2 linked regions of the Lepisosteus oculatus genome follow. The protein of the gene in region 2 purifies or fractionates together with the protein of the main gene of each other region. This does not show direct contact. Links are inferred from orthologs where the notes say so. Each region holds a gene or a part of one and is shown on either strand. Other genes may lie near its edges.

Region 1 (7,789 bases), on a different chromosome or scaffold from region 2:
GAGAATAGTTTATTTAATTGCATTTATTTTAGCTCCAGCGCTCCTTAAAGCAGATTTACAGTCAGGTAAATTCACTTTTTTTTGGCAACAAGATAATCAGACTCGGTAGTCAGAAAAAGAGCGAGGTCATGGAGAGACGATGAAATATAATATTCAGTATAAATATCGGGAAATTCTGCTACTAATAAACACGATCATGGTACTTAGTCTATACATAACATTTAACATTTTAGCAACGACCAATTATTCAAATGAATCCTAATGTTTTTTGTACCTTGTAAAGAGAACCCGCATGTGTATGATTTTTAACAGAAGTTCATTGAAGGCTCTTTAAAAACACGACAGATCGCAGTTCCAATTGACGTGTTTCAAGACGCTAACGTTGTATTTGAAATCGAGAAGTGAATTCTTTTGTTCCTGAGACGCTGAGTCTGAGTTAATTATACCGTCTGATCTGGATTAATTCTGCCCCAAGAATATAGTCTACGTGTTACTCAAATTGTAGTTATAAATCGATTGAATGTTCTCGCTTTTTTTCCCCAATTTTAGTTACATTTCTGGTATTATTAAAAATCCAGTAGATTGAACAGCCAAGTGAACTGATTTCACAGGACATGAATTTGACAGCATTTGTTTTCACATTTGCAGTGAATGCATTGACAGTATTTAAGTTTATTTGTATTTACCTACTGGGAAGCAGTTTTAAATATTATATTCAAAGTGATACACCTTGATACACAGATAAGCTCATACACTTTGATCACCTGCTTCTTAGCATAAAAGATTGTAAACAGAAATTAATTTGAACTTTTTAACATGGGGTTTTGGGGTATGTAACTGGATGTCTGTTTTGCAGGAGAAGAAAGATGTGGCTTCACAAGGGAATGGCTGGAATCACTCACAGTGTCAAGGGAACTCAGGAAAAATGGTTTTCACAGGTGATTGCTTATTGTGGAAATACATCTTTCAGTTGCCTATAAACACAACAACACAGTGCTGTATTGTGAGCCACCTGTATTGTGAGCAGGGAAGTGAGATTTAGTCATGCTGTTTCATTAATGTGCCGTGGGCATTATGGCTCAGTTTCAGTAAGCAATATGTGTGAAATATTGAAGTCTGTGGCTCTATATTTAGGGAGCTTGTGACCAGTGTATGCTGTGGCCTGGGGTCTCCCAAAAACCTGCATTTCCTGCTGGTGGAGAGGCTTCCCAAAGGAATCTACATTGACCCTTACCAGCTAACATCAGAACAACACGACACTGGCTTACAGGTAACAGGCACTACAGGAGTAGTGAGAGTAGGATCACACCATGGTAACCACAACTTGCTGCACCAAATACGGAGTATAGAGGATTTTCTTTCTCCTGGTACTAGTCTGAAGTTTCATCTTCTTTCCCCTCCATTTCAACATTACAAGGAAGCTATTGCTTGAATTTTTTAGTCTTTTTGAAACAAAAGAAAAAAAAAACGTAATCTGTGAAGCCTCTTTTTAGGGTGGGGGAGAGGTAGAGCCAAGTCTAAAGAAACCTCCACAGCCAAAATCTTTTCCTGTTTTGTTTTACTTTTCAGAGTGGAATTAACCTCTGCTTGTAACTTTTTTTGCTGTGCCTGTCACGGTCTGAGTTTTACACCAGCAGTTCTTTTGGGCACATGCATTCATTTCATTTTAAGGACAGTAGTTTCTTGCATAAGGTAGGTGAGCTCATGTCAGGTGATTTCATAAAAATGCCTTGGGGGTTAGTGCTAGTTAATTGAGCGATTTAAAAATGCCAAATGATTAAGACTCTCTTTAAAAACAACAAAAAACATGACCATGCATAACTATTTTAGTACATTTATGTCACATTAAATATCGGAGATCTTTTAGAAGCCCCACATTTTTTTTAAAGAGATCAGGTGGCAAATTTTACAGTTCTTTTGGACTGACAGGGTTCCATCTCCTTGTGCAGGTGCTTCTGGACACAGAAATTGATGTGGAAGCCCCGGCGTATGTTTCTTCTGCGTTTCCTGCCCTAGTTTATCCCACACGGGACCCTGCATCTCCTGTGTGCTTGAAGGCAGTTGTGCCAATCCATGGGCGCTATCATCGTCCTTCAGATTCCGGGAAGAGAACTGCCCCGATTGACATCGAGAACCCCCACCTGCTGCTCCGAGCAGACTCCTGTGAGTCCTCGGGTCTGTGTGTCTGGCAGCACTTTCTTCTTGATATAGTGACCTATGTGTGTCAGTTTGCAAAGCAGTTTTTTTTGCCTTTATGATGTTTCACCAGGGGCAGACTAATAACATGTCTGTCTCTGATGTTAAAAGCTTTCAAAGCAGGAACAGAAGCCTTCTTGAGTAATTTCAAATAAATGCATGATCCGTTATCACCTTCAGAAAAATATGAATCGGTCACTCCAATCAAATTACAGAAAATTGAAGACTACAGAAAAGGCTCAGCTGTGGAGCCGTACTCACTAATAAACATGCTTTTGGGGTAATTGTCTTATTTCCTGTTTGCCTTGTCATCTGATGATGAAAACACATCTACACATACAACACAAGTGCTTTTCCTCAACAATATAAAATACAAATCAATGCTTTCACTCATTATATAATTGCATTTCTGTTTTGTGCTTTGTTGGGTTGTTCTTAAAACTTACTAGTAAGTAATAAGTGGGAATTAATACCTTACTTTGCATTTTGGAATAAGTTTTTAAATTTAAAGATTGTACAACATCCTGTACCTGAAAGCACATTACTCCTTGTGCTGTTTACTGTTTTGTAGTATTTTCAAAGTACAGAAAAACACGTGCCTCTTAAAGCAGACCCTTTGTGCTTTTTTGCAGGTGATCTGCCTCCGAACTTCATCCCTTATACACTGACGGACGCCCCCTGTACAGCTCTTAATCACAGCATGTGCAGATGGCTGCAGATACATTCTGCACAGGTACACTGTCGCCAGTCTGTCACTGTGGTCCTACTGCTGGGGCTAAGAAATGACTATGCATGTTTATCCTCTCTTACTGGGTGTGCTCCTAAGATATTTTTAAGTTTTAAGCATGGGATATGTTGCTGGCTGCAAAATAGGAAGGTCTCAGAAAATAGTTACTGTCTCGGGTGCTTTGGTCATGGTACTGTCCTGCCGTCTTGATAATTTGGGTGTAACATTGGCATCTGTTTGATGAGCTTCAAACCGCTCATATGGAGACTTTGACCAGGGGAGGCCATAATGACTTGGGTTCAGTTACCAAGAACTCTACCAATAACGATTTCCTTAAAAAAAACAAAAAACTGTTGATGTCTCACTAAGAAATCAGGTCTGTGCGGAAACTGAAATAAATTTCGCTGCCCAATCTTCTCACTCTCTTCAGGAGCCTGGGCCGCTGCGCCTGGAGATCCCCGTGGGGGACATGCGACTGGTTGGATTGGTTTCCGCTGCCACCCTGCTCGTGACCCTGCTGAGCTGTGGCTACCTTGCAGGGGCCGTGTGGAGAAATGAATTCCTCCAGTCTCGTCCCCCTGTCAGCCAGGGGACCTGACGCCCGGTCCTCAAAGGGACTTTCCAAAGTGTTTGTGATTGCCTGGACAAAGGATTTTAAACATTAGATCTGATGTATAATAATTTATTCTAAAAGCTTCATATTTATATTTGTAGATTCTCTGTTTAAACTTAAATGATGACAGATATGCAAAACTACTACCACTACTAAGAATAATCAGCCACTACATCTGGTGTGAATTTGTCTTTTGGGCGTGTACACCGCATGTTAGCATTGCATTGGGTGGACATATCTCTTTAAGTGTGGGAGTTTTGTATTTGTCAGAAAAGTAAATAAAAACTCGAAAATGGTGTCAAGCTTTGTTGCTCTTTATACATTAAACTATCTGTTTGCTCACAGCTGAAGAAGGCCTCAAAGCTGAAGCAGTTTTTTCCCTGTCTTTCATTAATACTCTGTAACATTTGTTGGGAAAATTGTTTTGCACCCTTGCAACTATGTTTCACATTCAAACTTACAAAAACAAAAAGTAAAAATATGCATTATACTAAAAATGTAACATTAATGTATAAAATCCACATCATATTCACCTTAAGTGGATTTAATGGTCATAGGGGAATTATGACTTGGAACAAAAAATCATGTTTATTTGACTAGTGTTGTGCTATCAGTAATGATCATGTGCAGGTCCAGGCCTAGTATTAATTCGTTTCTACGTTACTGTTGTTTTTTGTAGAGCAGTTTGGAATGCTTTTGGTGGCACTTTTAACATATTGGAGCTGGTATATAAAGTTTGCTTCGATTTAATTGTGAAATTACTTCATTCTAAAACCATGCCCTGCACTTGTTGTACCACTCTGAAAGAACTACAATTCCCTTTCATACATCCTACACTACTCCTTTCTGTGTATTCCTGGGAAAAGCAGTCCCGACTCCTTCACCGCCCTATTTCCAGAAAACGCTACGAGAGGAAGAGAGAACTACATCTCCCATAGTGCTCTTCGTGCGAAGCGCTGCAGGGACCCGCTGTCTTTGTTTTCTGAACATTAGTTTTTTTTTTACAAACGTGTGGGTTTGTTTCAGTGAGCAGGCAACACACGTTAAAACGTTAAAAATTCCTCCTGAAGAAAAAAACACAGATTGCAATTAGATTGTAATTTCTAATGTCATCCGACACTGGGTTGGGTCGGTAGTTCCGCTTCCCCTCCGCCATTGCGGGTTTGTCCCGGTCTAAGAAGATAAAAGAATATAAAAGGAACGCAAGAAAAAGAAAGAAATTGCTTGGATATTGTATTGGCAGAATTTGGGAAGGGGAGTGCACTCAAATAGTGGTATTTTAAAAAAACGATATCTGAACTCTTGATTATCGGTTCTCGTAGGAGGCGGAGCTAGCATCTAAAGAGTTTTGTGGAAGTTTGGAGCTGAGAGTTTCGCCTGGTGAGTCCTGAAGTTAATTATTTAACTTGCTTTGGTGTTCGTATATTTTATAAATTGGATTGTGTAAGTTTCGAAAATACTATGTTTGCCGAGAAACTGCATGAATGTGATATTTGGCAGGACACCGGTAGCTTCTTTATGTCGGAAACGTGATATAAAAAGTTTTACAGAAGAGTTGAAATCGGTGAAAAGTCTCGTATTTCATTACGTATTTTATTGTTGCAAGTAGTCTTTGAATTTATTTAACAGACGACAAATGTCACTGGCATTTATTTTAGCAGAAAAAATCGGTTATAGTTTATTTTGTCTAAAAAGAACAATACAGGTGTATGCTCTCTCAATGTGAATTTGCACAAACAGGATTTAAAATAATCTAAAAACACTTTTTAGTGGAGATATTTGGCATTTTTCCTTCCACTCTTGTTTATGTATCACCATTGGAAATTTTTATTATAACAGCACTCAAGATACGACTGATTTCAGTTAATGTAATATTGAATGTGACAATGAATGTTATCCGTTTTTCCATTGCACTTAACACCGAATTGCAGTTCTTTGATTTTACTTTATTAATCATATTTTCAACTTAATTTTGTGAACTATAATACGGGATGGTGGAAATACACGAGAATATTGACTGGTACAATAAGTCATTCCCCAGTCCCTCTTTTTAATACAGGAAAATCGTAAATAATGGAGGAGAGCTCAGAAGACCACTATTTCATATACATTTTAATCCATCTCTGGTGTTCAAGGTGCAAGCTCTAATGAGAGTTAAGTATTTATGGCCCAAATTGTATATGTTCAGCCACGAGAGGTAATGTGTTTTTTTTTCTAAGAAAAGAAAACATTCTTGGTGACCCATGTGAGAAGACAGCTTGCAAACCCCAAAACTGATCAAAGACTGTTTAATCTGAGTTTTATCAGCTGTTCAGTGCAGTTTAACAAAAGGAGCAAGTCATAGGTTTATTCCATGCTGAAAAGAGAAGAAAGAAAACACAACGTTTCGGCTGTGAAGCCTTCTTCAGGTGTGAGAAATACAGCCGAAATGTTGCAGAAACGTTGTTTTCTTTCTTCTCTTTTCAGCTTGGAATAAACCTATTACTTGTTCCTTTGCAGCCTACGCATGCTGACGCAGCTCCCCACCTGAACTAGTTTAACAAAAGGTTTGTTTTGCGTGTTTCTGATGTTTTGCTGGAGATTTAGTTAAGAAGATTGGCAGATAGTGCTTTCTTGACACTGCAGCACTGCATTCGAATACCTCATTATGAAAGTCATGTGTTTAGCCACTAGCACAGCACAAAACCTTTCATTAGTTACATTTTGAATAAACAGTTTTAAGTTTTATGTCCATATTTGATGTCCTGCACACCTGGCCAAATGTTTTTTACACAGAGTATGCAGAGTTCCTAGAAGAAAAGTCATGGTTGCTTTTAAAAGTTATAGGATTATTGGCCATTTTCTTTACAGCTGAAGCAGGTTATAGGTATGATGTAGTCTTGCCTGTCCTGTGTTAATATTCCCACACACGGTGTGATGTAATGTTTGTATATATGGTTTGAAATTAAGCCCACTTGAAAATACTATCCTTGTTCAGAAGAAGGGCCCAATTTCTCAGTGAGTGGAGTAACCAGAGCTCTAAGAAAAGAGAACTTGCCAGTTAAAACCACACTGGCTATATTGCATTACTTTTCGTTTTTCAGTTTTTTCACTTGAACTTGAATGTCTGTAGCATAACAGTATAGTACATTTCTATGTTATAGGGAACCTGCTTTCTTTTGGATAGGTAGTGTTAAACGAATAACCTCTTCTGTTCAGCCAGCCCATTGTAACCTTGGTGAAAACAAAAAGCAATGTACTTTTTTTTTATCATGGCAGTGTCTGTTTTCTTTTCATTATTTTATTGAAAAAAGGGAGTTCCTGGAGTTTGTCGCCACACAGAGCCGAGGTAAAACGTTGGGCATGGATTGCAAAAAATGTGATTTTTTTTTTTTCCTTGTAGATGTTTTTTAGAGGAATTGGAGGAAATTACGTGAGGGGTTGGTGGCGGTGTATCCCGGGTGTGAAGCAATGCAGAAAGCTGATGGACAGCAGATAGGCTGGTACACACACTCCATCAGTGAGAACTGCCCAGGGAGCCTCTGGGTCGAGTAGTAGTGTCATGTGTCTGCCGAGAGAGAGACCGCACTGTTTTCACCAGGCACCAAGGGGAAATGGGACTCGCAGACAGAAAGGAAGGGGGCAGGTTACCTCACACCAGGAAGCACCGTTCAGAATTTCCTTTTATAGACTGCTGCAAATACAAAGGCTCAAAGTCCCCTTTTCCTGTAAACAGTCACTCTAGTGCAGGCTTTGTGGCAGGCACACGGGGGGAGACGGTCCTCCTGGAAATGAAAGCTGGCCTCATCGGCTTGTAGAACATATCGCCAGGCTCCATAGCCAGCCAGCAGCTGGCTTTCAAAACTTGGCAGATGACAGCAGCTGATGCTAGGTGCTATACAACACGGTAGTGCTCTCCAGCTAGTGCCCCTGGGTTCACAGTTCAGACATTATTACAGCCATTCTGCTCTCTGTTTGAATTGTAGTAGAGCACCTGTTGTGCTTTAATGGAACTTCTCTTTCATTCGTTGGGGGAGGTTTAATAAGGCTTTAGAGCCCAGGACAGACAATGTCAGTTTTTGTTAGTATGGTGCCACTTACAGTAAATTAGAGGGTCCCATGGTGCCCCAACAACCACTAGCATCAGTTTAATTTAAATGCATTGGTCAAACCATCACTAAACAGTGGTACTGCTGCACCAAACAGTCCTGTTTAAACTGCACTAAATGTTATTATCATTACTGAATTCAGGGTTGTGATATGTATTTTGATTC
Region 2 (8,127 bases):
TCAAGTCCCTAAATAGAGAAGAACAAAGAACCATGTAGTTTTCTTTCTAATGATACCTTGAATAAACAGGTTCACTGACTGGCCAGTGAAAATGTGATCTGGTGACTCATATCAGCCCCGTAATGTGCAATTATGATAATAAACAACAGTTACAGCTCAGTTGTCTATACCCCTGTTAGTCTTTTGTTGTTTACCACGGTAAAACCGTGTTCACAGTAAAAGCAGAGAGAGGTGGTGTTATTATTATTCATTCGATTCGTCTGTAGCCTGTGACGAACCACTGTATAAAATCAAGGAGAAATTTAATCAAGTTAGCGATGACTGGTGTAATTGTGATAAAGCCCTAGAAAACTGGAGAAATATCACATTCCAGTTTACTTGGGGTTTACAATGGCAAACCTTAACGACATAAGGCCATTGGCCTCCTGTGGCCTGTTATAGTCAGTAGCTAAATGATCCCATTTCTGTTCCAGCTGTGTTTTGAAAGCAGGCAGGGAGGGTGGAACCAGCTGTCCCGGTTGCGATGCTGAGGCCGACACCATCGCATGTTTTAAGGAACTGCTGATTCAGGCTCTTGGATCAATTAGCCACGAGTAAGAAAAGGAGCTAGTTCTCGTTCTGCACACTTTCTTCTGCTTTGCTGAGGTCCCCGATGCCGCTCCTGGGCCCGCACGCGGCCCTGAACTCGGGTCAGGTCGCCCCGCGCTAATCTAAGTGTCCAGCCGGCAGCTCGGGCCGTATCTCCTCAACAGAACTGCTTTGCAGGCCAGGACGCCTCAGCGAGAACAACAAGGCTCTCTTCTCCTGCTCCAGGCTGCACTGAGAGCTCGCCCTCCTCATCGCCTCCCTCTGCTGGACTCGGCAGAGCTGCTGCCCTGTGGTCCACAGACTGTGATTCGCCAGCTGTGACCAGGATATTCCATTAGGTGGCACAAGACTGGCAGTGTCTGAGGGGGACACTCTGATGGGCAGGACGGCCTGGCATTAGTCGGCCTGAGTCTTCTGGTCCTGTGACCTGTCTGGCGCTGACAGGGACTGGTATGCTCCTCAGATCAGCGCTGACTCCTCCGTAAGGCACCACGGAGGTGGGTGCGTTCGGAGGGGGCGCGTCTGCGAGCCGGCCTGCTTCTTGTGCGGGACAGGAGTTGTAGCCTTTAGCCGAGTCTTCAACAGCTGCTGAATCTGACTTGTGTAGTTATACAACAACAACAACAACAACAACAAAAAATCATTGGTGGTTATGAATCTGGAGATGGAGATTCCCTGTGTCCTGTGGCTTCGGAAGAATGCAAGGTCCGTGAGTCCCAAGATGGGCAGTTTCTGGCTCCTGCAACAAGGTTCACATGCAGGTCTCCAGTGATCGGCACATGGCTTCGAACCCCTGTCCAGAACCTGTGCATCTGTGGTCCACATTGGCCGGTTGTGCCTTCAGCTTCCCCAGGTATTTCCATTGTCTCTGAGGGGCTGCAAAAGCACGTGGCCGACGTCCGTTCACCCAGCCCATTCCTGTCGGAGAGGCCGGCCTCTCCCCCACACCCAGCTGCCTTCCACAGAGATCCACAGCTTCCTTCTTTCAGGGAAGGTAATGTTGTCTTGCCATTTGCTGTTTGACCATCAGAACGCCTTGGTACCCCCTCATGGCGGTACAACACTGATTTGGGGACTGATTCTCCTGGATGAGGGGCAACTCCAAGCTGAAAAACTAACTTTCAACTCCCATAGCAAAAAGACATCAGAAACGAAAATTGTCCAGAAACGTGGTTCACACCTTCCCCCTTCTCTCAATGACAGACTTTTTTTTTCGTGTAATCTTCTCTATGCACAGGCAGGTACTGACACCTCTCTCCATTTTGCACCGCCTGAGTGCCCTCTCTGCCTCCGTTCTCTTTCACCATGGAATAAACCTATCACTTGTTCCTTTGCAGCCTATGCATGCTGATCCAGCTGCCCACCTGAACTACTCTAACTGAAAACTTTGTATATATATATCCCTGTCACCCTGAAGTGTCACTTCTTCTTTGAGACAGTGTCAAGGTAGAGAATTGTAAATAAAGTGGCTCCAAAAAAAAAAACACAGGAGCACAATATATCAATCCATGGGCTATTAAGATCGCTGTTTCAATCTGTGTGCTAGTTTCGTGTCCTAAAAGTTTTTGTCATAGTTTTTCAATCTTTTTTTAAAAAAAAATCTACAGTTGCAGCAGCGCAAACGAGTGAAACCCGTTCTGTCGTCTCCACACGGAGCGCTGGCCTTGTACGCGCCAGCGACGCTTTCTCGATAAGCGTGAACTGGGAACAGAGAAGGCTTGTTGATCTGCACCGAATTACAGCCAGTATTTTACAACAAAGGATGGTTTATTTTAAAAGGAATTCACAAGATGAATGCCATATGCACTAGGAATAGCCGCCGAGGAGAAATACAAAGTCTAGGAGTGCAGATATCGGGCTGCGGAGAGGCACGTGTATTTAAAACATGTCAGGACTTTTTATATCAGAGATGCGACTGAGCGGTGATATTTTATATTATATCTAGTTGTAGAAAACAGAACTGTAGGCGCAGAATTCAACCGCAAGATGCTATAGTTCATTCTGAATGCGGAAAATCCGTCGACTAGTTACAGGAAGTAGGGAAACTGAAGCTTCGGATTTTTTTTTTAGCTGCACGATAGAACAACGTTATCATTATACACATTAACACTATATATTAAAGCGCAATGAAAAGATTTGTTGAGCTCAAGAGCCCTATATATATATATTTATTTATCATTGTCAAAAAGCGCGATGATGCTTTGACACGGCTTGCCTGGCAAACTTCCTGCCATGATGCGCACCTCTGTCTTCGTACTTTTAACATGTTTTTTTTTGGGGGGGTTAACCTGCGACCAGCGAAACGGCCGTGCAAGAATTGAAGCCAGGATGCGCAATGCACTCCTCGGGCGTGCGGATGATCCCGCCATCCCGCCGTGCGAGCGAGGAGGGCAATCGTGACGCGCTCGCCGCTGGGTTTATTATTACCTTCTGCACAGAGCCCGGCAGGAGCCTCTCCATGAGCCTGCAGAGAACCGCCCCATCTCTCAACGACGCCTTCAGAAATTCCTCCGGGTCCGCGATGTTCTTCTTCGGCGAATTCAGCACCCCCAAAGAGATGAGCCAGGTCACCGTCTGCTCTTCTGGGTTCATCGCCACGCCAGGGCTGGATGTGCAGTCGCCCCGCAGTCTGTATCGAGAGCGGCCCCTGCTTGTTCTCAAGATATAACCCACATCCGCGATATCATCATCCACTTCTGCTTTTGTCGTCTTGAAATCGCAGCGCCGAGCGCACTACCGCTGCATTGTAGCCATCGCTCGTCCCCCCGTTATGTCTGGGCTCTGGGAGGGAAATCCGTCGCCAGGAAATTATTTTTCCTACGGGAACTTAACTTCCCTTGTTTCTTTACAGACGCCTCGCAGCGTTTGCGAGCGTGCCACTTCCCGAGCCTATCACGTTTCTGCAAACGATGCAGTGGTTTCACTCTGTGCAATCCTTGCACATTCAATTCATCACATCGCTACTTGAAAGTCGATTTTTTTTTGCTTCCTTTGGCAAAGGGAAAATCGGGAGCAACATCCGCTTCTTAGCCTAAAAATAACCCGATGCGATCTGGGAACGACCGTAAAAGGGCTCTGTGAATCCAAGCTCCTCAAACGCTCAGCAAGTAGACTAAAGTTACGTGCCAAGATAGAAAAAAATGGAAAGGCAAGAAAAAGCAAACCCTTAAAATAAAGCTGTAATCATTTAACTTAACTAAATCACGCAATGCAACATGAATAAACAAATGTGGTTGATTATGCACTGTATCTGTGTGACAGTAGGTGGGGGGGGTGGATCATGCCATCATAAAAAGGCTGTGCAAGAAAAAAAGGATGATTTAAAAAAACTGCCTTTAATCAACATGAAAATAGGCTGAACTTTATTTGTTGCATAAGTAATGTAAGGTTGCCTTACATAAGGCCACCTTATTTGCCTTCAGCCAAGTCCACCATTAAGTAACTACTGCAAGAGCATTATACCTGGGCCTTGAAGTTGAGAAACCATGGCACCATTTGCACAAGTAGGGGTATAAGACATGGTGCCCCAATGAAATCCCAGTTTGCACCTCCCTAAAGTTCCTCCTTCACTGGTGAAGGATGTTTTTCCACTCGACATGATCTGCTGTGCAGTGCAACTAGTGACATGATGCAGGTGTTTGTGTGCTGCATTTCAGTTGCTCACTTCCTGTATGTGAAGCATTCTGGGATGAAAAGCATTTAAAATACCAGCTTAACAGACTCCCTTCCATTTATCCCATTGTGAGAAGATCCTGCATTCTAACCCTTTACCAAAAGACATTCTTGTAATTTAATCTCTAATCAAGAAACCCTTTAGTTCCATTGTAAATTTAGTCATTGAGGCAAACAAGTCAATTTCAGTGAATTTTTATTGAAATACAGTCCCAGATTTAAACCCCACCCCATCACATAAGAGCCAGACTGCCCTCTTATCCAAAACTCAAGTACTCCTCTTCAACTTCTGAGGATGCTGCCCAAGGCCAGTCCCATTACCACAACAGAGGTCTGGTAATCAACCAACAGTCACCTGTAAATTTCAAGCAAAGATTAGAAATCAGAATTAAAACGAGTTACATGGAGTTGTTGCATACAATTTTCTGAAGTCTATTAAAGTAAATGGTTAAAAACAGTACACAAACACCAATTAAGAAAATGATTGTGAAAACTAACCTTTCAACTCTTGAGATCATTGCTGACCAACACCCAACTCATGAATGAAATCCATGACTTAATTTTCCACTTAATTCACAAACCGCAATTTTCATCCTGTAATGAAAAGACAACATTAATACGACAGCATAACATTAAGTAGGGCAAATTTAAAAAAAAATGAAAAAAAAAGGCTCAAGTCCTCATCTTCTGAGCAGTTTTAGGCTACGATCCAATTTGTTTTTGATCCATCATTTCCAGTTTTGTTCCAAGTAAGGATATTCCATCAGAGGTTTCATTTCCTTTTTTCCCCAAAATGGATATTTCTGTATTTATAAGCACGAAGACTTGCAGAAACTACAAAAACTAATGACTCCTTTACATTATACAAAGGCCTCAAATCCTTTGAGCTTTTCTGGGCTTTAGGGTTTAATGCAAATTCCAAAAGATGAAAATACAGTTAAAAATTTCATATGGTGCTCTGCAATGACCATTTTCAAGGACTAGTCTTTAAATTAAAAAGACTTGGGGTATCGGGGCTTGCCGTTCTGCAGCATTTTTTCCTACAAAGGTTTGAGTTGAGCTGAGGCGATACTTTCAATAGTGATGTTGCAGTTTACAGCACCAACCTTTGCGGAGATGGCTACTCACGTGAATGAACTGAACCCTTCATTTAGACGAGGGGGGAAAGAAAAAGTTTGCTTTGCTTACCATCTGTTGTCACAGGCAACTTGTTTAAATCTGTTGAGTGTTGAAAAGATTCGGTTGCGTTTTGGTTGTCAGGCTCTTTGGTAAGGTCGTAGTAAGCCACCATTGTTTATTCATTATGGTGAAGGATCCTTTTCAAACTGAGGAAAACTACACCGATAAAGAGTTTGGAACAGTAACATTTGCCTTTTTTTTTTTTGCAATGAGACCACAGGGCCACTAATGAAACTGCAGGAGCAAAATTCTAGATAACAGCATTCGCTAATATGTAAAAAGGTCCAATAGTTCTTATTTTGGTCAGTATTTTGGGTTTCGGACTGTTGGAATTTCTTTAACAGAAGTAAAGCTTTGAAAGGCAAATGCAGAGTTGTGCATACACTTAATCGATCTTTGGAACATCCACGAGCTTCGCTCACAATTGTCGATATAAAAACTTTATTAGTAAATGAAAAGGCATGTTATTCCAGGGAATTGCAGCAAGTTTTAACAGCACTAGTGTACAAAAACCAAAAACAGAACACTTATCACTTTTAAAATGGCTTGCACTATCAAGGGGAGAGGGGCGGGTGGGGGGGGGGGGAAAATAAAATAAAACTCATTTAAACATTTCACTTTACTCTTCTCAAACGGAACAGTTATGGTAGTGAAGGGGAGAGGAGAAAAAAAGCTCAACAATAAATAAACGTTATTGTTGTCCACCAAAGTTCAAATCGCCATTTTTGATTTTTCTTTTTCCTCTCCGAGAGCAAAGCGGTAGGCCTGTACAAGCAAGTCATTCATGTGGTCCGTTTTAGTATCGGCTTCGGGCAATTCCTCTATCGGAACGGCTCCCCCCCCGGCCGCCGCCCCTGGGCGCTCCGCGGCTCGAGCTGCTGTACGTCTCCCGAGGAGGGTAGCCTCTCTCAATCGGGGGCGCGGGCCCCCTCTCCTGCCTGCCAAGTCGCTCTCCGCGGCTGGCGGAGTACGGGTCGCTTCTGCTGCTGGGGTAACTGTCGCGATTCCCATATCCATCCCTGGAACTGCTGCCATAGTCATCGTAACGACTGCTTCCGCCACTTCCACCGTAGGAGGGTGGGGGCCCCCTTGAGGGCGGGGCGCTGCGCGAGTTACCTGCAGGGTCAATGGGTCAGGTAATTGGCAAGTTTATCACTTAAACATTTTCTGCAAGTTTTTTTTTTGTCTTGTTTTTTTTTTTTTTGGTTGTGGGGTTTTTTTTTTTGTGTGTGTGTTTTCTCCTTCCTAACACCTCCATTCTGGACCAAGTTGATTTTAACTTGTTTTTTTCCTTTTAAAAACGGACCTTTCGTTTAACGTGAAAGGAATGTGTACTTCTCAAAACTTTAAACACTTGTCTCTCCCCCAGGTAAAGCTATAGCTTTGTTTTGACTTGCAAATAAGACTTTGGACTGGGACAGGTGGATGGGGGCACAGATTGCCTATACTGTATCCAAGATACCCAAATTAGGGATTTTCGGGGTGGGGGGGAACTGCAACAATGACGAAACCCCTGCAACATGCCAGTGTACTTTTTTTTTTCCTTGAGCAGCGGCTTGGGATTTCCTCTGATGAACTCCAGCTTTAATTTAGCGTAGGAGACTGACAACTTTTTTTTGGCTTTATTTCTTGAGGTTGCTTTTTTTTTTGGACCGGGCGCTTTATAAATTACATTTCCAGAAATCGGTCACCGTGCAAGGTTCCTTGTAGAAGTGGGCATTTGCTGAGGCTCTCTTTATTGAGCTCTGTTCGGGTCTGCAATTCATTCTGCACTGGTTTTCCCCTTGGAGGAGTTTGAGACATCAGACGCATTGTCTCCAGGCCAACAAGAACCTTAAACGTGCACAACAGGCGTCTTCCCTACTAGGACAGCGTACCCAGACACCACAAAGTACATAGTCTTACCGTAACCATCATAAGGATCTCTGTAGGAACCAGCACTTGGGCGATCTAGGTAACCCCTGGGTTCACGTCCTCCACCATAGCTGTCACGGTCACTTTAAAATACAGAGACTGGTCAGTTCAAAGTGCACTTGTCTATCTGAAAGCCAGAAACCTTAGCACATACGAAATCTTGACAACCTCGCTGAAGCAACAATACCTGTAGCCACGTGACATCGACCCATACTCATCACGGGAGCTGGAGTGTGGATATTCCCGATACGCATAATCCCTTGGGGGCGGAGCATAATCTCTCGTATCCCTGGAACTAATGTAATCCCGACTGGAATAGCTAGAGGGAAAAGAGCACACAACGTTAGTAAAAGCCAGCCACAAAATTGAGCTCATACACAAACAATCGAGAGTAATTTAGGCATCTTCTAGCTTTACCTGTCTTTAGTGCTGTAATGATCATCCCTTGGAGAAGGATAATCATCTCTCCTGGAAAGCATGGCATCTCTGCGAGGTGGTGGTGGGCCATAGGGGTCTCTTTCCCGAGACATGGGAGCTGAAGGGAAAAAAAGATTACACCAATCGGTAATGATCCAAGGGGTCAGAGATTACATAAACCCCAGCACGGCCTGCCCTTTGCCACAAATACCGACTACACCTGGAACAAGGCTTCCCAAGATCAATGCTGTTTTCACGTCTTGCACGCGCCGTCACTTTAGGAAGAAGTAGCGTTCCGACACGCACACGGCCAAGCACGCGCAACCCACCGGATCCTGTCAAAAGCAGCGGACCAGT

The links. The genes of interacting proteins can lie anywhere in the genome.
Region 1: the proteins of arhgef6 (region 2) and pak2b purify together in Homo sapiens (affinity purification with mass spectrometry; 3 studies listed by BioGRID and IntAct, counting the BioPlex papers as one, with this or other methods). This does not show direct contact. The link is inferred for Lepisosteus oculatus from reciprocal best matches to the Homo sapiens genes ARHGEF6 and PAK2.

Annotation. Positions count from the first base shown.
Region 1 is NC_090708.1:10,584,991-10,592,779, forward strand, and holds the start of pak2b (serine/threonine-protein kinase PAK 2b), read left to right. Parts: upstream 1-4,649; 5' UTR 4,650-4,916; intron 4,917-7,789. Other genes in the region: pigx (phosphatidylinositol-glycan biosynthesis class X protein), read left to right, coding at 1-65, 857-938, 1,135-1,270, 1,950-2,163, 2,829-2,929, 3,354-3,521. UniProt on the Homo sapiens protein: Serine/threonine protein kinase that plays a role in a variety of different signaling pathways including cytoskeleton regulation, cell motility, cell cycle progression, apoptosis or proliferation.
Region 2 is NC_090703.1:49,178,535-49,186,661, forward strand, and holds the start of arhgef6 (rho guanine nucleotide exchange factor 6), read right to left. Parts: upstream 3,507-8,127; 5' UTR 3,181-3,506; coding exon 3,016-3,180; intron 2,096-3,015; exon of another isoform or gene 474-2,095; intron 1-473. Other genes in the region: rbmx (RNA-binding motif protein, X chromosome), read right to left, coding at 6,236-6,555, 7,345-7,436, 7,541-7,672, 7,771-7,888. UniProt on the Homo sapiens protein: Acts as a RAC1 guanine nucleotide exchange factor (GEF).